Linked DNA regions of Astyanax mexicanus. The protein of the gene in region 2 purifies or fractionates together with the protein of the main gene of each other region. This does not show direct contact. Links are inferred from orthologs where the notes say so. Each region holds a gene or a part of one and is shown on either strand. Other genes may lie near its edges.

What was found.
Region 1: the proteins of histone H2A.Z (region 2) and mier1b purify together in Homo sapiens (affinity purification with mass spectrometry; 3 studies listed by BioGRID and IntAct, with this or other methods). This does not show direct contact. The link is inferred for Astyanax mexicanus from reciprocal best matches to the Homo sapiens genes H2AZ1 and MIER1.
Region 3: the proteins of histone H2A.Z (region 2) and smarcb1b purify together in Homo sapiens (affinity purification with mass spectrometry; 3 studies listed by BioGRID and IntAct, with this or other methods). This does not show direct contact. The link is inferred for Astyanax mexicanus from reciprocal best matches to the Homo sapiens genes H2AZ1 and SMARCB1.

What each region holds. Positions count from the first base shown.
Region 1 is NC_064415.1:897,917-905,261, reverse strand, and holds the start of mier1b (mesoderm induction early response protein 1b), read right to left. Parts: upstream 3,017-7,345; 5' UTR 2,982-3,016; coding exon 2,958-2,981; intron 879-2,957; coding exon 854-878; intron 723-853; coding exon 580-722; intron 1-579. Other genes in the region: natriuretic peptide Na-NP-like, read right to left, coding at 6,388-6,636. UniProt on the Homo sapiens protein: Transcriptional repressor regulating the expression of a number of genes including SP1 target genes. Probably functions through recruitment of HDAC1 a histone deacetylase involved in chromatin silencing.
Region 2 is NC_064415.1:30,686,635-30,694,541, forward strand, and holds the start of histone H2A.Z, read left to right. Parts: upstream 1-4,898; 5' UTR 4,899-5,144; coding exon 5,145-5,147; intron 5,148-5,543; coding exon 5,544-5,621; intron 5,622-7,010; coding exon 7,011-7,124; intron 7,125-7,519; coding exon 7,520-7,649; intron 7,650-7,890; coding exon 7,891-7,907. UniProt on the Homo sapiens protein: Variant histone H2A which replaces conventional H2A in a subset of nucleosomes. Nucleosomes wrap and compact DNA into chromatin, limiting DNA accessibility to the cellular machineries which require DNA as a template.
Region 3 is NC_064424.1:46,282,187-46,290,099, forward strand, and holds the start of smarcb1b (SWI/SNF-related matrix-associated actin-dependent regulator of chromatin subfamily B member 1-A), read right to left. Parts: upstream 3,017-7,913; 5' UTR 2,971-3,016; coding exon 2,887-2,970; intron 1,094-2,886; coding exon 982-1,093; intron 822-981; coding exon 692-821; intron 567-691; coding exon 429-566; intron 1-428. Other genes in the region: hmgcrb (3-hydroxy-3-methylglutaryl-CoA reductase b), read left to right, coding at 4,638-4,662, 5,673-5,860, 6,056-6,167, 6,548-6,635, 6,757-6,841.

The DNA of each region.
Region 1 (7,345 bases), about 30 Mb from region 2:
TAGAAAATAATTTAGTGTATTGAAAATTAAAACTCAACGTTTTGCATTTATCAATTTTGTTCCATTGTGATGCAGAATATAGCATGTTAGCTAGCTTTCCGCTAATGTTAACTAGGTCTCTGCTAACCCTGGTTTTCTCCACAGTGACGTAGCTAACTCGCCGCTAACGTTAGTATCTTAGCTAGCTCGTTGCTAAAGTTAACACAGCTAACCTTAGTTTTCTCCCGTTAATGTTAGCTAGCTCTGCACTAACTACACTAATTTAAGATTTTAATGATAAAGATTTTAATTTAAGGTATTTTAAGACTTTTTAAGGACCCGTGGGAACCCTGGTATTACCGAGTGGAAATAAAGGTCAATTGATTGATTGATAATAAACATATAAACCTTTTGTGCAGAAGCTGGTCTGAATTTTCAGGTGTGAAAATGTTCTAAAATATGTTTCTGAAATGATAATCTGACGTTTGGTTTCCAGTATTTTGGCCTCTCCACATTGAAACAGATGGAAGGCTGGAAATAAGCACCCGGCTGGATATGATGGAGTGATATAATGATGAAATGACGGAATGATGCACTCACTCTGTTACTCACTCTGTTCAGGTCGTCGATCTCGTTGCGGAAGTTGGTCTCTCCCTCCATAAGCTCCTCCTCCTCCATGGTGCGCTCATCGTCAAATTCCTGCACCAGCATTTCAGCCGAAGGGTCGAAGTCCACCGAAACCCCTGCAGCAGAACCACGCCCCCATCAGCCCTGATCCACCACAACACCTCACAACCACCAGAAATCAAAAACACAATCTACACTGATACAGATCTGCTCAGAGAAACTCCCACAACTTCAGACTGAGGCTTACCTGGGCTTGAATTCCCCAAGGAGGACTGCAGGAGACAGACAGAGAGACAGACAGACAGAGAGAGAGACAGACAGAGAGAGAGAGACAGGGTCAGAGAATGATCAGCTCATCTTCAACAATAATTTAGATGCTTCACAGTTCCTGAAGGATTACTAACGCTCAGAGCTGGATGATACGTCCAAAACGTAAATCACAATATATATATATATAGACCTAGGAAAAAATAAGAGAGCACTTAAAAATGATGAGTTTCTTTGATTTTACCAAATTAAAACCTCTGGAATATAATCAAGAGGAAGATGGATGATCACAAACCATCAAACCACCAAACTGAACTGCTTGAATTTTTACACCAGGAGTAAAGCAGCATAAAGTTATCCAAAAGCAGTGTGTAAGACTGGTGGAGGAGAACATGACGCCAAGATGCATGATTAAAAACTGTGATTAAAAACCAACCAGGGTTATTCCACCAAATATTGATTATTTCTGAACTCTTAAAACTTTATGAATATGAACTTGTTTTCTTTGCATTATTTGAGGTCTGAAAGCTCTGCATCTTTTTTGTTATTTCAGTCATTTCTCATTTTCTGTAAATAAATGCTCTAAATGAGAATATTTTTATTTGTAATTTGGGAGAAATGTTGTCTGTAGTTTATAGAATAAAACAACAATGTTCATTTTACTCAAACATAAACCTATAAATAGCAAAATCAGAGAAACTGATTCAGAAACTGAAGTGATATCTTTAATTTTCTCGAGAGCTGGAGAACTTAGGTCACTACAGTATAATTGATAATTCCAACAGAGATACGAACAGTATAAATCCACCGTCGTGCTGTACATCACACACACAGTAGTGCTGGGCGGTATGACCAAAAATGTATATCACAGTATTTTTATTTTATCTTATTTATCTTATTCAGACTTTATTATCAGAAAAACAGCTGAAGAATGTGAACAATAGACTTTAGAAAAAGATATGCAACAACTTCAACATGGCTTATTTTTTTAAATAGTTCCATAAACACTACAAATGGACCCAATATACTCAGCATTTAAGTATTTAAAATATATATATCAATTTATATTGTTTTTCTGAAGACATTAGAGGCATTACTGTATTAAAATCAGCCACAGTTGCCTTCTCTCTCCAGTTAATAAATACGTACAGTTTAGTTTGCATTAAAATATAATATCATTCAAGCTACAGTATTAATATATTTAAAACAGCTTTAGTTTTAGGGAGTTTTATTTCATTTGCTGAATAAATGAAGATTTGACTTTCAGTATATAATAATAATCTGGATTGATAGGCAGCATATAGTGAATTACACTGAATTAAACTGAATTTAAACCTGAATTAGTGATAAACTGGCAACATAAAATGAAACTGAATACGTATTAATGTAACAACCTGGTCATAGTCTGTAAAACTGAATTTAGTGGAAAAATAATTAAGTTTGTCCGTCATATAAATTGATAATCTGGAGTGACGGGCAAAGTATACTGAATTACACTGAAATAAACTTAATTTTAAACCAAATTACAGATAAACTGATGATTTTGGTGAAGCAGACTCGCAGTGTAAAACTGATTTTTATATTTATATGATTTAAAATGCAGTATAATGTGAATGATCAGCCCTATAAGTGTATTTAAATGCGGATTTAGATCCGAATTGAGATGTGGAACAGTGTGGAAGTTTGAGCTTTAGCTTCATTATCTCAGATTCAGATTTAACACACTGCAGCCCGTAACCCGCTCACAGAACTGATATTACTGAATAAAAAACACCGGAATAATAAAACCGTATTATTACATCACTACCCGCGCGCCGCCGCGGAATGCGCTTTATTTTAACCCGCTTTAATCCGGATTGAAATCCGCTAACAGGCTAACAGTGCTAATAAGTTTACAGTGGCGGGTATTTGTGTTAAAATCAACAAGTTTAAAGGCGGGAAAAGCCCGGTACTGCCCGCGCGCCGCTGCGGGGCTGAGTGCGGGGCCGTGGTGAGCGCGCGGGGCGCGGGGAGAGCGCGAGACCGCAGAAATCCCGCACTTTATTCCCTGTTTTTAGGAGAAATCAGGAGAGTTTCCGTCCTACCTCCGCCATATTCCGCCGCTGCATACGGGTCACTCAGGGGGCGGGGCCGCGGGAAGACCCGGATGAAGCAGAGCTGATCAGAGTGATTAAACTGCTTTAATTATTAATAAATTAGAATTAATATAAATTAATATACAGCACCATATATATGTATGGAGAAACATTCTCCTTGGTTGTTTTATTATTATTTTAATTTTATTATTTTTCCTACACTGTAAATTAATAATGAAGTGGTCAAACTTATGAGGGCCAGTTCCATCATAACGTTTTTTCATAGGGGATTTTGTTTCATTACTTAATTTTTTTCCTAAACTCATTTTTGTCGTTACTTAGTTGAGTAGTTTTTGCCATAATATGGACTAGAACAGGTCTCAGACCGGGTGTTAAGGAGCTAAAATTAGCTTTTATTTTATTTTATTTTTCAGTTCCACCTTAAATACTGCAGCCTCTACCTTCTTTTGCACCATTTAAGGTGGAATGGGAAAGTTAGCTAGCTATCCATTGATTTAAGCTAATTTTTATTTATTTATTTTTATTAGTTTCAGTAGATTCATTGTTTTATTTAAGCTGTTAATTTAATACAGAGGTAAGAAGCAGTTAGATAAATAAATGAATCTGAAAAATAATTTATCAGGAGAAATCTTATAATATATAGTTTGTCAACTAATGTTTATAAGGTAAACAGAGGGGGGTGTAATTCCTCTGTAACTTATAAAAGTGATATATCTTTAATAAAATACAAATATTTATACTTAGTAGTGAAAGAGCAGAGCTTGGTTTGGTTAGTAGAACATTTTCTGAAAGTTACAGATAACGTTCTTAAAACGTTCAAATCTGTCAAGTTTTCTGGATGTTCTTAAAATCTTTTATTGAACACTTTTAAACGTTCTGGTAACATCACTTGTGTCAATGTTTTAATTTTTAGTTGATGTTAGTTGATGGTACTGAAAATGTTTCCGTAATGTTAGTATTGGTCTAGCAGAGAAACATTCATGAAACGTTTCAAAACGTTGATAAACGTTCTCATAGCGTTCTCTGTTACGGTGTGAATATTGACAGATGTTTTGATTTAGTTTCAGTTTTTTAATTGAAATGTATACTAGTTTTAGTCACATATTACTTGTTTAGTCATCATTAGTTTTAGAATCTAATAAAACAGATTTTTATGTACAGATTTATTGTTGTACTGTTTTAGATTTGTACTATTATTTTGAGATTATTTATTTATTATTAATGTTTATTAAAACAAATAGCTTTTAGGTTTCGGTACATTAAAATTATGCTAATATTAAAAGGTTTTAAAGCAACTACGCTATAAAGATGAGAAAAATAAAGTCAAGTAACTAAAAATTAAACACTTCTACTGCAGTACAGGTTTCTACTAACATTACTGACGTTCTGTATCTGGACTTTTATTAATTAACCACTATATTTACACAATATGTGGGGCACTCCGATCACTGATCAATAATACTGTTTATTATAGATAAGTATCCAATTTGTCAGTCTTTCACCTTTTCATTTAGCTTTTATTAGTTGATGAAAAAATCTTATTAAATGTCACTATAATTTTCATGATAAATAAATTATGAATCAATATCTTTTGTAAACTGGGAATATGGTATGCAGGGTGTAGTGCAGCAAATAAATAATAAAAAATAAATAAGTCAAAAGGTATAAAAGAACAGTATTTATTATTTAGATAACAGTGTTATTATGTGACAGTTTCATCGGGATCATCTTCCCAGACCCAGATTAGGTTTAATCCCATCATTAATTTCATGACCTGGAAACTGACCCAACATGACTATTTGTTTTTTATTTAAAACAAAAAAACAAATCATACATATTAACACACACTATACACGTACAGTATAAGCAGGAACAAATGTGCAGGAAAGTATTTACAAATAGTAATAAAAATAATAACAATAATCAGATAATAGCATCAGTGTTACTGATATAAAATAAACTTTCAGTGATGCAGCTGCAGCAGCGACGCATGGGCCTGAGGCCTGTAACATTACTGAACTTAATATACTCTATATATCGTTTTATATAGAGAGCAAAAAATAATGTTTTAAATGCTGTTAGGACTCGATCCAGACCAGAACATACTGTAAATGTGAGGAGAGTAATAATACTATTGAGCATCACAAGTGATAGGAGGAGTCCTAATGAGTGGGTTGGGTAATTGAGTAAATTGGGGAGAAAATGGGAAAAAAATAGAAATAATATTATTTTTACCGTATCGATTGGGTGTTAGCTAGTTTTCCAGCTAACAATATTTAGTTAGTAGAACAGTTAACAAAAAACGGATTTTATGGATGTTCTTAGAACATTTTTATTTAACATGATATTTAACATTTTACAATGTTCCCAAACATTTACAACATCAAAGGGATTGAAAGCATTTAATAATAAACTCGAAATAAAAATGAATAAAATAGTAAAAAAAAAAAAGTACTAATTTTAAATCAATATTTTACTATTTACTATTTACTATGTTTTTTAATCGTTACAGTTAACAAAAAATGGATTTTATGGATGTTCTTAGAACATTTTTATTTGACTATTTTTTTTTAACGCTGTGGTAACATTGCTGCAACATCACTTGTGTCAGTGTTTCAAATGTTTAGTTTTTAACTTTTACCGTTTCCATAATGTTAATATTCGTCAGGATGGGAATCAATCAATTAAGCTTTATTTTCACTCGGGAAAAAACATTAAGAGAATGTTTCTGATAATTTACAACATCAAAGGGATTAAAAGCCTTTAATAATAAACTCGAAATAAAAAGGAATCAAGTAGTAAAAAAATAATAATAATAAAAAAGTACTACATATTAAATCAACATTTAACATGTATAAATAAAATATAAATGTACAACAGAAAATTCTAAAATACCATAAAAAACTAATTGACACATAAAAAGTAAAATATAAAATAAGTAAAAAGATAATAGTAAAAGTAAAGTAAAATGTTAAGAATGGTAAGAAATGATAAAATGAATAATAGAACTAAGAACAAGAATGAAAATATAAAACATTAGAATAAAAAATAAAAGTAATAATAAATAAAATAAAAGAAATGTTATTAAAAGAATGTTATGTGAGAAACTTTATAATAATGTTGTGATGCTAACTAGCATTAGCATCCTGGAACATTATCTCTAGTATTGTAACTAGTTAGCTATCAGAAAGCTGGACTACAACTCGACGAGGCTGTCAATCACTTCATTCCTAAGTGTAGCCCCGCCTCCTTCTTCTCTACGTAAATAAAAATGAGATGCAAAGTGGGCGGGGCTTTTCGTCACTGAAGTGTGATACAGTGTTCAGGATCTCCACAGGGCTGCTGGGTAATATATCAGTATCCAGTCTTTAGTCCGTTCAGCACTGTAAACTCCGCCCCCTCAGGCTGTAATTCCACTCTAATTCCCAGGTGGCGCCACTTCTGCCGTTTTGCAGCCCATCCCGCTCAGGTCGCTGATCCGGTCCATCTTAAACCCGAAGCAGTTTTTACGTTTCTCACGTTTGTTCGTTTGCTTGTTCGTTTGTTTGTTTGTAGGTTTTTTCCGTACAGGTGTTGAGCTCCTCCCTCGTGACTCCGCCTCCTGAACCACACCTGTCACATTAGCCCGCAGGGTGGCGACAGTTACCGTCACGTTGGCTGCTGGCACCTGGAGCACAGACAGGTAAGAGAAAGTAATTAACATACAGGTTAATTTATGTACGGTTAATTCTGCACAGGTAACACACAGTCTAATCAATATACAGGTAACACACAGTCTAATTAACATACAGGTAACACTGGTTATTTACCAAAAATGTACCACACACATACACTTACACACAGGTTAATTAACAATCAGGTAACACAGGTTAATTAACACACAGACAAGTTAACACACAGGTAAATTGAAACACAGGTAACAATTAATTAATTAATATACAACACTGGTTATTTACCACAAATGTAACACATAGGTTAATTAATGCAGAGGTAACACAGTTTAATTAATATACAGATAATACTGGCTATTTAACACAAATGTAACAAATAAGTTAATTACCAACCAGGTAACATAGGTTCATTAACACAGAGATAAATTAATGCACAGGTAACACACAGGTTCATTAACACAACACTTAACATGCAGGTAAATTAACACAATGGTAACAAACTGGTTAATTTACATCAGCTAACATAATACTTAACACAAAGATACATTAACGCACAGTTAAAAGAACTCGTTAATTAACACACAGGTTAATTAACAACCAGGTAACACACATATACGTTAACACACAGATAACACACAGGTTAATTACCAGCACTGGTTAATGAACAGACAGAGTGCAGTAACTGCAGGTGTGCATGCAGGTAAA
Region 2 (7,907 bases):
AATGTTCTCGAGTTACCAGCTGACGTCTCTGATGTAACTGTGTGTTTTACCTGATGCAGCAGTGCAGAGAGTAGTCTGTGTTTAAGAGTACATACAGCCACCTTGTGGACACATGACTGTGGTAATCCACAAATCAGAAGGACATCAGTGTAGACCTGTTATCCATCCATTTAATATACTGAGAATTCTGATTACTTCTTAAACAACTGTATACTAATAGAAACCCTTTTTTATTTCTGCAATAGATATATATATACATATATAAACCGTCAACCGTGCATTGTGCGGCTTGATTTATTGTTTGTCAGTCTGTCTTTGCTATCAAAACAACGTGAAAAGTAAACCTTGCCCGGCTTAGACACATAAAAGACGTGTCACTTGCTATTCCCTTTAAAACACAGGTTAGCTCTGACTTTGGCACATTTCTGGGGCACAGCCATGGGTGTGGTAATGGGGGGAAAAGTGGACCTGACTACTCAGGGCCCAAGTAGGAAGAGGGGCTCATGAAAATCCTGATTTGTTTTTGCTCACGTTCCTTGTGTAATGGCATGGATAGGGGCCCACTGACACTAAGAGTTGTGGGTGCAGACAGGGAGGGTGCAGAATTTGCTGCTATGCCCCTGGGTATACCTGGACATTAACAAAACTTCTTAGCAGAGTAAACTGACCTGCTTTTGTAATGCTCACTCATTCTGTTTATTGTTGATGTAAAAGTGCTATGGGTTTTTGCACTGCATTATGGATAAATCTGTTGACAATTCACTGCCAAGATTGCAATGACGTCTGACCAATGCCTAGGTTGCTTTCAGACAATGGCACACTTGTGTTTTCCGTTGCTAAGATAGCAATACGGCAAAAATATTCCTGAACACACCTCACTTCCAAACCACAACGCCCATCAGTGTAGATATATTCACCTTACTGTAATATCTACATCATGTAAAAGAAAAACTTATTACATCAGTTAATGTAGCACATACAACACAATAACCTTTATAGTCATAAATAATATATTATACAACAAAAGCCACAGTTAATCCTGTTAAAAACAAACACAATGCTATTGGCTGCTATCTTTCATCAGCTTTCTTGCCATTACATTTTAATTCATATTATACAGGATCTCTCCTATAGAAATCATTTGTTATTAAATTCTAAATAAATAGAAAATAATGTGACTGAAAACCCCTGTAGATAAGGCTTTTGTCCTATTTCATCCACATATTTTGACACTGGAGTTTTACCCATTTCTGCTGAGAGTGTGCAGAAATCACAAACAGTCCAGATAAAACAGAAAGTGGATTCCCATTATAATGTTCTGTTCCACCTTAAAAGCGCCAAAAATATTGACAGCTTGAAGACGGTGTGCCGCCACAGCAGCATTTAAGGCGGAATGGTAAATTAGCAGCATTTAAGGCGGGATAAATGTGCAAATGTGAGGTATTTATGTAAGGAAATTGTGTTTAAAGTTGATATTTCAAGCTAAGTAAAGCTAAGCGCTACTTACACATAATGCTGTAGCTCGAGCAGCTTGAGTGCCATAACTTAGACACAAGCCATCTGACCAATAATGAGGCAGGCAGGTAAACTAGAGAAATGTTCATTGACATGGAATGGTATGATCCACTTTAGGGGTGCTTGAAATCGTATAACAATATTCTTCCAGGCATAGATACTGTATTGTTTTTTTTTAGTATTGAACGTTATATGTAGCATTATTAAATGTTTTGACCCCCAAACTATTGTTTTAACCAATTTAGGTGGGGTTAAAGTCTTAATTGGGGTGGTCTGCCCCCACCTCCCCAATACCCCCGTAATTCGCACCCTGCCTTATACAAATAATATACAAATATTGTATGTAAAAAGTATGTTTATTTTTGTGGATTGTTACAGTAAGAAGAAAATGCAAAAAAAATCATTGAGCGAAAAAAAAAGCTGTAACATATTTAACAAATATGATGAAAAAAGCCCTCAAGAAGCATTAATTCATTAACTTACTTTGAACAGAACATTTCACTGTCCAATGTTTTTTCAAATTCAAACTACAGTAATTATATGGTTCCCTGAAAGTATGGTAAATTTGGAAAATATCATAATATTGAATTTTCAGCCTTGAATAATAAGCTTATCTTGGCATATGTTGAGGGCTTGAGACACATTGTTCATAACAGAGACTGTGAAAAAGTTCTATTGTAATTCAGATTGATGTACTCCTGTTTTGCAATAGGGCACTTCTTCAGATGAATGAGCTGTTAAACTGGGGTAAGGGTGGAATAATAGGGTGTGAAATGACCTCAGTATGACTATCAGACTTTCAATTGGTCAATTTTGCTGTCTTCTTCTTGTCTGACACGTTGTTGCACCATTACAAGAGCCAGTCATCTTCTTCTTTTGAGTCCTTAAATTGTCTAAGAACTTTACTTAGTCTTAATATATAGGGTTTAATGGTCAGTAAAGTCACAAGTATTCATCCAAGATCAGGAAACCTCAATTCCAGTAGCTTATCCACATATAGCTTGTGAACATCATTGCTGTGCAGTGAAAATCATGAATCCCCTAAATAGTGATTTTACAGGAGAAGGCAGTTTTTATACTTTTGAATGAAAGTTAGTGAAAAATAAGATTGTTTCATGTAATTTTAGAGCATTTTTATTGCTCTATTCATTCTGAATTATTTACTTATCCAGAGCAGCTACATGGTTCAAATGCTGGAGAAAACAACGGAAAAGGGGAGATTTGTGTTTTTCCCTGGACAGCAGCAACAAACAATATAACCAGTTCAAAAGTACATTGTATTATTTTGTATATAATCCACTGTTACAAGGTTGAATTTTAGGTCTTCTCAGACTGTATAGATAATGTAATGGAAAAGTTTGGGCACCCTTGGCCAGGTGATGAATTGTATTATGTTTTGGCATTTAGAAGCAGTAAAAATAACCTTTTTAGCTAATTAAACATAAATTACAATATATTGATATGTTCAACAAACCTTAATGCACAGTTACTCTCTCTCTCTCTCATAGCATAAATATATGGTCTGGCAAAACTTCTGAGTCAGGACGTGGTAGCACCCCTCTGGCAGAAATTACAACTAAAAGTCTCCTTGTTCCTAGTTGGTCCTACTCTGCTCTACTCCTGAGACACTTTTGAGTTTTCTTGCTGCTCTTTTAGTTTTTAGGTCTATCTACAAATTTTCTACACTGTTAAATTATTGCTGATGTTGAGGTATAATTTGGATCTTTATCTTCCTATAAGAAATGCAAGCTGGTTCAACACTTAGTTAGTCTTTTACACTTTAGCAGATATTTAAACAGTTTCTTAGAGAAGTCCATGTTTGCTAAATGTAAGTAAGGATAGAAAGATAGATAAATAGATGTGTAGCAGCTGGGTTTTTTATTTATTTATAATTTATAATTTATAAAGCATGGAAACTTGATTCATCTGACAGTTTCTAGTTAAAATAGGTGACATGCTTCTGGCCTGATTTGCTAAACAATGTATTAGACCTAAGAACTAGAGTGTGAAGAGCGAAAGACAGAGTAACATTATTAGGTTTGCTGAAAATAGACAACTAATTATAAACATGAAATAATAACAGAACTTGTGCCATATAATGCAAAAACACATTTCACCAAAAATCATTGAAGCTTGTTAACACAGAACTTACAGTTACAGGCAGAAGGGCTTACATGGGGAGAATGCAAATAAGATGGTGCCAACTACCCAGAGGTCAGGGTTGACAAAATACTAGATATTTGGACCTTAAAAAAAAGTATTCCATTTGTATCTGCTCTGGGTATTTTCTTTTAATAGAGTGAAATTTGCCCAGCGTTAGTAGAGTGTAAGTTCCCTTAACTTATGGTGGAACTCAGTATTAACCAATACATACAAAATATGTTTCAGGTACTGTAAGGTACAAATAAAGAAATATGAACAACTAGGAACAAGAGAGAAGCAATTGGTTAACTTTCTGACATGTACACAAAATTTAATTTTCCCAAACTTATAGTTTAATCTCTGGATAAACCAGTACATATAAAATTGGGTAACATTTCCTGACATTTACCATTATCTTATTCCATAACATCTCAAGCCAAAATGTCTATAACTGTCTGCTCTGGAGTTAAGTTTTCTTCCTGCAGCCTGACAGTTTTGAGTTGCTGCAGTACTGAACATCCAGGTCTGCTAGAAGCATAAAATCAATTCTGATTTTATTATACTCACACAGTTCCTCTTTTACTTACACTGTAAAACACAGAATGTTGTTACTCTCCTGTTCCTGGCTGTCCATATTTCTTTATTTGTATATAATTTAAGTACCAGTAAGACCTGGTGTGTATTTTGAATGTACTGATTTATACAGAGAAGTTAAGGAAACTTACACTCTAAAATGTGGGCCATATTATAAAGCATTACTCAATTGTTTTATGAAGTGAAGGTTTTAAATGCATAGGATAAAGCTGTGCTTTCGGTTTATTTTCACTGTCTGCACAACAAGATGTGTGTGGGCATGGGATTCTTTATGTGTAATGAACATTTCAACTATATTAACAAGTTTTAATAATCATGCAAAGTCTTACAGTAAAAGGAATATACTTTTTTATGCCAAATGCATTTTACATATATTGTTTAGTGTATTTGCTACTGCTTAATGTTTTTTTCAAAAACCTGGAAAACTAAAATATTTTGTATATTTGTATGTTCTACATATATTTATTTTTAATATATGATAATTTTGTGCACACGTTTTACACATTTATTTTTAAATTTGCACAGAACATGTTTAAAGTATGTACTGTATCATAATTAATATTAGGATATTCTCCTTGGAATTGAGTCTGATAGAAAACTAGTGGATCTGTACGTGGATAACACACTACTTAGCAGCTGTGTAGAATTGAACTACATTTAAACTACATTTCCCATCCCTCTAACGGACCGCCCCATCGCTGGGATCAGCACAGTGTGATTGGTTGGTTGTACGCCGAATGCCAGCACGCTGAATGTGATTGGCTGCTGTGTGAGCGCGGGGTCCCGGATGTAGTGGCTGGTGGAACTATATAGCGAACTGAAAGGCGGGTAACTCAGTTTAAACGAAGCTCTCTGGATTTGTGTCCGCGCTCTACGGCAGTTAGATTCGCACAATGGTATCGTAAATACGGCTGTTTAATTTATTTTATAGTCTGTTTGTGGTCTGTTTAATGTTATTAAGATATTTTAACGCGTTTTTCCGCAGGGTTTCATTCATTTAGTTCATTTAGTATAGAGCCCATTGTTTCCAGGGCTAGTTTCGGCTAACTAGCTAGCAGCTAACGACTCGGAGCCAGTTCGTTGCCTCGACGTTAGCTTAGCTAGCTGGCTAGCTTAGCCACAGACCGAAACGTAGTGCTAGGTTGCTAACCTAACGCTAGCTTACTCGCTGCCTGTAAAAAGCAAGGCAAGGGCGCCCATAAGGCTGTTAGATTTTACCGCGCTTGTTTAAAACACTGTAAAAAGCCCGGATATAAATTTAAGCTCTTAATTTCTCCGTTGTTATTTTTCAGGCTGGAGGAAAAGCTGGTAAGGACTCAGGAAAGGCGAAAGCCAAGGCTGTTTCTCGCTCCCAGAGGGCAGGACTGCAGGTTTGTACCGAGACCGCCGCGCTAACAGGCGGGCTGCCGCCGTATAACTGAAAATTGCTTCTTTTTTTACCATTATTGCTAAGCATTTAATCTAGTTAGCGTTCAAGCGTAAGAATTTACAAAAAAAACGTTCGGTTAATTGGTTTACTAGATAAATAAATAGTTTTGTTTCCCTATTTTTGCTTTTGTATGAGCTGATCACTGACCAAAATACCCGCAGCTGAAGCTTGTTAACTAGATGAAATGTAACGTTAGTTAAGTTATGTCTACAAGTGGTGGGCGATGTAGCCCTAAAATATCACGATAATTTTGCGACAACATTCTTGGCGGTATGACAGAATACTGAAAAAATAATTTAATTAAAATCCGGTTACAACAACAAAATTTATATTGCTGATATTATTGAATGCATATGAGATGTTACATGCCAAATTAAGGTTTTCACCAGGTTGTAACAAAAGTCAATTATCCAGACTGTCATGATGCTAATAATGCACTCCATATATCCAGTCTTGAAGCAAAAGAAATGATAATGGACAGAGATAATCAGTCTCTGAGATATTTCAGGGGAAGCATTAACAGTGCTTAAATTGTACCCAAATGGCCTTTTTTTTGTGCAATAACGAACATGTAAATAACCTTGTCTGCAAAAAAAAAGTATATGGTTAGTAAAAATATCATGGTTAACTAGTTTGATTAAATGTTTATCTACTAAAGGTTTGTGTACTTTGCTACAAAGAAATTCTTGGCAGTATGAACATTTAAATTAAAAATACAAATGTATCGAATACGATATGAATGCAGAATATTTTCTATTATTGCATACAATATAATATGCTATCCCTAATTGAGATATTCACAGATGTGAATGATCCAACATGAAATAAGTGATGCACTCCATATATCCAGGACTGAACTAAAAATAAATGTACTTATATAATCTGTCTATAGTAGATATTATTTAATGGGAAATGAGAACCGTGTGAATTTTTCTTTTCCTACAAACAGAAGAAAAAAAAAATCTGTGCCCCAATATTTCAGGGTATTTTTGCAATAACTGTGTACGTTCCAAAATTTGACATTGTGTGTAAGACAATATGGTACCCCACCAATGTCTAAACTAGCAAAAAAATAAATCTAAAACCAAGTGGTAGAAGCAGCAACAAATAAACAAATGGGTGCAGGGGATAAATACACATGCTTGTGAGTATTGCATTGGGGCAAAATCCAATTGAGGTTAAACATTTCTCCATTACCAAATTTTTGTTCCCCAAACTGAACATTGTAATATCCAGTCTAGATTTTTACACAGTAAAAATGTCAAATTTTGAATTAGTTGTTTTTTGTGTTATTTATATTGTATATCTATATCTTGTCTTTATGTGGCAGTTCCCTGTTGGACGTATTCACAGACATTTGAAGTCCAGAACCACAAGTCATGGGCGTGTAGGAGCCACTGCAGCTGTTTATAGTGCTGCTATTCTGGAGTACCTGACTGCTGAGGTAGGGGGATAGCAAAACATTCAGCCATATGAACATCAGCACTGATGTATGTAATCAGAATGTGTGTAGAGTTCTAGATGGCACGAGTTCTAGATGGCAAGCATGTATTTTACAGCTCTGTGATCATTGCAACCTTTCAGTTCCAAGACGTATGCCTGGCTAGTGAATATAATTTTAAAAATAAAAATAGGTCATTTTAATATTGATTATGTATCACTTTGAGTAGCTGCTTAGTGTTTCTATTCATACGTTGTATACACTTTGTCTTAGTTAAGTTCTATCTAGGAGATTTTTAGAATTTCCTCATGTGGAAAATCCTGCTAAGCAAGCCCTGTATTTTTTACTGACTGTACTAAATTGCCCCACTAATTAGGTTTCTGTTTCCACTTTTTAAGGTTCTTGAGCTGGCAGGAAATGCTTCCAAAGATTTGAAGGTGAAGCGTATTACCCCCCGCCATTTGCAGCTCGCCATCAGAGGTGATGAGGAGCTGGACTCCCTCATCAAAGCGACCATTGCTGGTGGTGGTAAGTTGTGTATATTTATAGTTTCGAATCAAAAGTTTTATTTAAGAGAAGGGTGTACGTTGGTTTTGGCAAGTATCAGACAATGTCAACACTTTTTAGAGCTTTGTCTGTAGAATGTGCAAGAAATTAGTTCAACACTACCAAACAACTTTTTTTATTTTTATTTTTTTTACTGTAGCTTGGCATTGATTTTTATAGTTTTCCATTTAACAACTTTCTCCTTTCTCTTTCTTCATTTAAGGTGTCATTCCCCACATT
Region 3 (7,913 bases), on a different chromosome or scaffold from region 2:
ATCTGTACTCACTATAAATGCCAAAATGCTTCTGTCGTTCTGTGTTTGTGCATATAGCATTAGCTTACTAGCTGGTAAGGCTGTGCAATGGATGGATTTTCAAATTTTGAAAGTAGTCTATTATTTACTGTGAAGCATTAAGTGTATTTTTTGTACTGTTTATGTTTGCCGTTTATGTGCATGCACTATTTTATGAATCTGGCCGTTACAAATGACAAAATGAACCAGGAGTTAAAAGCTGGTTAACATTAACTTAGCAGAATAGCTAACATTCTATTCAATACAGAAGCTCCTCAAGTTCGACTGACTAAAATCCTACTTATAAATGTTTCTTGCACTATTTAGTAAGTCTATTGAAATACTAATAAGGAAATAAGAATACGTTTTAGCCACAGCCATGGCAATTAAGAAATTAAACCATCTCTCACCACAGGGGAAACGTCCTCTTCTTGTCCCGTCCCATGCGATTTCTGTTGATTGTAGTGGAGCAAGGCACAGCATCCAGGTGGTGAGAGCTGTTGGGGAGGGTTGGAACCCATTGGCTGTTCCTCTTCGCTTTCTGCTCTCTGAATAAAATGGAGAGAAAACAGTCCATCATCTAAACTGACTGTCCTTAAAATAAGTAAAAAAACATTTACCTACATTCAGGGTATTTTCAGTCCAGGAGAAAAGACAAAAAAAGGAGCCGTACCTGAGATAGGCTGGAGGTTCCGTGCTGATGGACACTGCCTTGTATTTCTCATCGTTCCCCTCAAAGATCTCCTCGCACTCAGACGCTTTCAGCAGAGTCACACTGGTGGCTAAAGTTGTGTAACAATAACCTACACAAAATAAAACACTGCACAAAATGCTGTCCAGAAGCAGGACTACAGGACTATCTGGAGCAAAGGCATGCACTAAACAAGACCGTGGTCTCCTAAAACTGCTTTCTGGACTTAAAATCATCATAAAACAAATGCTATTGGCATTCGAATCACTTACCGTGTGATGATGCTACGATCTTTTTCCTCTCCTCCACTGACGCAAGCCGTCGCCACAAGGATGGGTACCTCTTGTACAGTGACCCTCTGAACATACGCAGGTAGTTTCCTACCTATAGGGAACAATATGCAGTCAAAACACAATCAATACTTGCAGTGGTGTGCAAACAAAATCATACAAAATGAAAAAAGCATTTAATCTTTCTTTACATATACATATCTTTTAGTCCCATATTAGGTGTATATTTATAGACAAGATGTTTAAAAATAAAAATAAACTAAAAAAGCACTGACCCAAATAATAGATAATGATTATTACACCCGAAATATGACAAACATTAAATACCACTACAGACCACAAATATCTCTCCTGTCAGACTGTTTGGTTTTATTTGGTCATTTTAATTCTGCACTGTATACTTTACTGAGGGCGCCCCAGGCCTGACTGTAATGTATGTTCTTTTCTGAGCTCTTCAGACTGTTTTGAAAGAAAGATTTAAACAGTTTATTTTCTGGAAATGTGGCTTATCTGGTTAATGTTTGTTTACAATACTGTTTAAGATCCGCTCTTCTGTCTTCTGACAGAGAAGCAGCACTAAGTATGTATAGTTTTTTTTTGTTCCATCAACCATCACTCTACTGAACTCCATATTACACCAATAAAACAGAAACACTAACTTTTATATTTTGCATTTATGAAAATTATTTAAACTACTTCGTACATTAGGTCTATTGAAGACTAGCTTTCATACACAGCATACAATATCTGTATTCATTGCAAGTTATGTGGCATATTTGCTATAAATACAGAAATACAGATATTGCTGTGTATGAAAGCTAGTCTCATTTATGTACACTAAGTAGTTTAAATAATTTTCTGACTAATATCACTTATTTTTCAAGTGGAGTGTATCATCACGTTAAACCACTTCTGATATACATTGAAGAAAACATTACAATGCCAGGTCCTAGTTTAATAAACATACATTTGGACAGGACAATATGGCCAAAAAAATATATATCACAAGTTAGAGTCCCTAATTCTGGTTAAGAAAAGATATAATTTTCAATATTGATAAGAACTACATAAAAGCACCAGAAAAACTGCCAAGGATGCCCACAACAAATGTCTGTACCTACAAACATCTTAAAAATAAAACTACTATTCTAATTTTTTGAGATGCACTAGTGTGTGTATACTGCTATTCACTGCACTCATTCATGATGCTGTGATTAAAAACAGGGTTATTCCACCAAATATTGATTTCTGAACTCTTAAAACTTTAAGAGTATGTTGTTTGTAATTTATGGAATAAAACAATAATGATAATTTTGCTCAAACATTTACCTATAAATAGTTAATTCAGAGAAACTGATTCAGAAACTGAAGTGGTCTCTTAATGTTTCCATAACTGTGTGTGTGTGTGTGTGTACTGTAAATATTGCGTTGCTTTGGTGAAGACCGTTTTCATAAGGCTACAGTAAGGGCTTAAATGATTATTTTACTAAATCTAAAAGCTGCAGTAGACAAATATGAGGTTTTAGAAGTTGTTTAAGGACAGTGTTGGTAAAGCTGATGCTGTATCTAACACAGACTGGGGGGTTTACTGTAAACATCACCACACTGCTGCGGTAACTCAACACAGACATGATTTAGAGCAAAACTGATGTGTATAAACTGATACATTCAGTGTAAATCCAGTGTGAATTCAGTGTAAAATTCAGTGTAACAGTGTTTTAAGCGCTGCCTCAGTCTTCACTCATTCATCGTTAGCATCTATGCTAACAACCAACAAAGCCTGAGGGGACGGCGCGCTGTACCGGGGGTTACCGGCCTAAACTAGCCCCCAACCCTTCGTATTCCGAGTTCAGACTCTACAGGACTGATAAAACGCTTAATACGCACCTCTGAACCGATCATATAGAAATCTCCATCCTGCTCCAACTGGAATTTAATCGGTTTCTGACCGAACGTTTTACTCAACGCCATCTTGCCCAGCACAATGCAGCGCACTGCGCATGCGCGGAATCACCGGCAGACACAGGCCCGCATCCGCTGGGATGATCAATAAAAAAAACCCACACAATTTCAGCACAAACAAATAATTAAAAATAATTAATAAAACAGAAAACATCAAATACAGAATTTTCCCACACTGAGCTACAATTAAAATAACAGCCATAAGCAGTGTGAGAGAATTTATCATAGTGTTTTTATAATAGCCAATAGAGAAATTTGAATTACAGATATTTATGCACGTACAGTGGCATAAAAAAGTATTTGCCTCTTACAGATTTCTTTCTTTCTACATTTTTCAGATGATCAAACAAACTTTAATTTCAGACAAATATAACCTGGGAAAATATGTAAAGCACTTTTTAAATTAAGATTTCATTTATTAAGGAAAAAAATATCCAAAAAAATGTGAAAAGGGCCCGTTTTTGGAAAGCAACATTATGAGTATGTAAAAGTAGCACATATTGATGGCTCGCATGATTTTAGCTGACTCGACCTCTAGCTCAAAAATGAAAAAGGCAAAAAAATGTAAGGGGTAGTTTGAGAGGGACGCTGGGTGATGTATGGGTTTAGAGGCGGGGTAGGAAGGAGAGCCGATTGGCTGAGCTGCAGCAGTAGCAGTGTGCCTCTGATAGTGGTGAGACGCAAATGGTTGTGACTTCAGTTTGTGACTAATTTGCATATTGTGAGTTAAAGGTTAGGAAATCTTTATAAAAAAATTTGCTCAAGTGCTCCATAAGAACCCATTCATTTTAGGCCCTCTAGTGTCTCAGACCAAACTTAAAAAAAAGGAGGGCCCATAGTTAGGGTACAAGTGTGCAGCCTATACTACACAAATTGGACCAGACCCTGGGTGACATCACACACCGGGGGGCGTGGCCAGGTCGCCTTGGTTGACTCACAGCCGCCATCGCTGTAGAGGGAGGAGAAGCGGAGGAGCTGCGGAGCGGATTATATCATGAAGGTAATTCTCTGGGCGGAACACCGGTCCTCTAACCCGCCACCGCTCTCCGGAGCGCGGCTCTGCCCGCGCCGCTGCTGCTTTCAGGACGCGGGTTTGACCTTGGCTGATGTCTGTGGGTAGAACTGCTTAGCTTTCGGCTAAAGGCAGCTAGCAGGGCGTTAAAATAGACACTCGGTGTTGTGCTGTCATTCGTCCTCGACGAAATCCGGCTTCCCTCCGCTTCCTGCTGTTCTCTGATTGGTTGAAATAAATGAGTGCTGTCTGAGCTCTAAATTAGTTAGAGGGGCTGAAAAATCGTTTTCTTAGACAAAAAAGATTTTTTTTTTAAATTTTATAATATTTTAACGTGTTTTTTATAATACCAATATTGTTTAAGTATTGTTATATTAACAAAAAACATTTAAATATTTTTAAAGATATATTTACCTGGAATGTTTGATATTGTAGCTTATACAAAAAGTAAATAGTGTGAATATACTTTTTCTTAAAAGAAAAAAGACAGTTTAATTAGTTAAACCTGCAATATTTTTGAATATTTTGAAATATTAACCAATTTATTTGGTAATGCATTTTTTAGTCTGTGGTCGCAAAGTGGTGGTTGATTCTTTTTTTTTTTTAGCAGGCGGACGGGTCCTTTGGGGTGCAGGATTTGGCATTTGACGCATTCTAGTGCAGCATGTCGGAACTGATCCAGTATCAGAGTAACAGGACACATGTGTTTCATCATTACGCAAAATATTGGACTTCTGTTTCACCTCTTCTTCTAATCTCAGCTCTTATTAATTACATACTGTAATAATTTATATGTAATGTATTCATAGCAAACGCCTATGTATTTTTGTATTAAAAAAGGGGAACAGTAAAGCAAAAACTGGCCAGTTAGTCCAAGTGGTTCTTTATAAGTAAATAATAGAGAGGAATAATAAATATAATATATTTTACTCATTATATTAATAATATATTTAATTTGTGTAACGTCTGGTTCATATTGCTGTATAAATTATCTGATTACAATGCAACAATAAAATTATCATCCATAAAGAGGAGGAAGTGGAGGATGACAGTTTTGACAGCTTTATATTATAAGAAGCAAGAACTACTCAACCAATCAGTCAATCCAAAACATTTGAAAACTTTTTTAAAAACTTTGAAAGTATGCTTAAGTGCAGTCACTGCACTGATTGGTGTCTCTGTGTTGAGATTTGAGCTTCTCCCGGTTCAGATTGGTGTCTCTGTGTTGAGATTGGAGCATCACCAGGTTCAGATTGGTGTCTGTGTTGAGATTGGAGCATCACCAGGTTCAGATTGGTGTCTCTGTGTTGAGATTGGAGCATCACCAGGTTCAGATTGGTGTCTGTGTTGAGATTGGAGCATCACCAGGTTCAGATTGGTGTCTCTGTGTTGAGATTGGAGCATCACCAGGTTCAGATTGGTGTCTGTGTTGAGATTGGAGCATCACCAGGTTCAGATTGGTGTCTCTGTGTTGAGATTGGAGCATCACCAGGTTCAGATTGGTGTCTCTGTGTTGAGATTGGAGCATCACCAGGTTCAGATTGGTGTCTTTGTGTTGAGATTGGAGCTTCACCAGGTTCAGATTGGTGTCTCTGTGTTGAGATTGGAGCTTCACCAGGTTCAGATTGGTGTCTTTGTGTTGAGATTGGGGCTTTACCCGGTTCTGATTGGTGTCTCTGTGTGTGTCTCTCTCCTGCAGAAGACGTGCTGATTGCTGTGACGATGCTGACCCAGCTCTTCAGGCTGCATGGCCTGTTTGTGGCCTCGCATCCCTGGGAGGTGATCGTGGGGACGATCGCCGTGACCATCTGCCTCATGTCCATGAATGCCATCGCTGGAGGAGATCAAATCTGTGACTGGAACTACCAGTGCCCTAAAGTGCAGGAGGTACATAGGCCTTTAGAGTACACACTTTCTGACTAGGGGTATTCTAATATATTAAAGGGATATTAATGTCTGCGATACTATATTAATTCTCAAAAACTCAGAATTGAGTTTTTCACACCTGTAGTTGGTTTCTACAGTTGACTGGAAACTGTTTAAAAATAAAGTGGAAACAAAATCTTTTATTTGCTCTTTCAGAAAATCCTGAGCTCTGACATCATAATCCTAACCATCACAAGGTGTCTGGCCATCGTCTACATTTACGTTCAGTTTAAAAACCTGAGGCAGCTCGGCTCCAAGTACATGCTCGGTGAGTTCACCACTGCACAATTCCTCCACAATACTTTTTAAAGAATATTAAGAATATCATCAGTGCCTGTTTAATTTTATGATGTGCTGCAAAAGTGTAAGAAATGTCACTGTACTGTTCATACTGTCTACTGGTGCATATTGTCTATGTGCAAAAACATGATAAATACTGTGTATTGTGAAAATGTCTTTAAATATTTAAATCTTTTTTTTCTTTACAAATCAAAGTGTATCGGCCAAAATTAAGAAATATATCGTAATGTAGAATTTTACCATATCGTCCAGTGTACACATTGTTTTTTTTTTGGTTTGTTTTTGCTATGTTTGGATCATCATGGACCAATAGAAATATATGGTGTGTGTGTGTGTGTGTGTGTGCAGGGATTGCTGGTCTCTTCACTGTGTTCTCCAGTTTTGTCTTCAGCACTGTGGTTATTCACTTCCTGGGAAAGGAGCTCACGGGCCTCAAGTAAGAGCTTTTATTCTTTTTTATTATTTTAGTTTATTTAGTTTTTTAATGTGCCGTTACTACTTTTATTTCGACTGTATTTCTGAAGTGCTGAGGAACCCTGTTTCTGTGTTTTCCTCAGTGAAGCGCTGCCGTTCTTCCTGTTGCTGATTGATCTGTCTAAAGCCTGTACTCTCGCCAAGTTCGCCCTCAGCTCCAACTCTCAGGTACAGAACAGCACCAGAACTACTGTGTTCCTGTTAGTTTATCTTCCCCAGAGAGTCCTATTTTTAGTGCTTGGTCATAATTACCAGCCAAATTAATACAAACTAATTAATTTATGTTTCTAAACAAACACTCATACATACTGACTAGGCAATACGTATCTTTCTATCTTTCGTATTCCCTCTTTCTCTATCCATTTTCTTTCTTTTTCTCTCTTGTCTCCACATATAAACCAAATAAATATTTATTTATAGTTTCTTTTTTGTCGCTGTTCTGCTCATTTTGTTGTTGTTCCTTAATATTTTTATTTTCTTCTTGCAATATTTTGTCTTTTTGTTTTTCCCCACCTTTTTGTCTTCTTTTTTTTTGTTTTGTTTTTTTTTCCTTCCTCTTTTCTCTGTTTTGCCTCTTAATTTGCTTATATTATTATATCTCTAATAAAAAGTGATGCCAATGAAATTGTAAAATCAACTAACACATAACATGTTAAATGACTAACATTAATGAAAATGTAAAATATGTAAAATACTAAGCTCCTATGTAGGGGTGGGCAATATTATATCGTATACAATATATCGTGAGACAGAAATATTGTGATATTAAAAATCCATATCGTGATAATAGAGATGTTCTGTCTTAAAAGTAGTCTATTATTTACTGTGAAGCTTTAGGTGTATTTATTGTATAATTGTTTTATTTTGCAGTTTATATGCTTGCACTAAATATTCTGCAATATTTTTTGCTGCATTATATTATTTTATGCTATATTTTGCCACATTATGATTATGCTTTTATACTCTTATACTATATTCCTGAAATTAATTAATTATTTTTCTGTTTTCCTATATCGCCAAGTATATCGTTATCGCAAAAAATACCCTGAAATATCGTGATATTATTTTAGAGCCATATCGCCCACCCCTACTGTATATATGGAGATATTCTTGTATTTTTATCTCAGTTAGAGATGTGCAATATCATATCGTATACAATAATATAATGTAAGTTTTGTTTTGTTGCAGTAGTGTATTTTTTTTTTTTTTTTTGTCATATCGTCAAGAGTATCGTTATCGC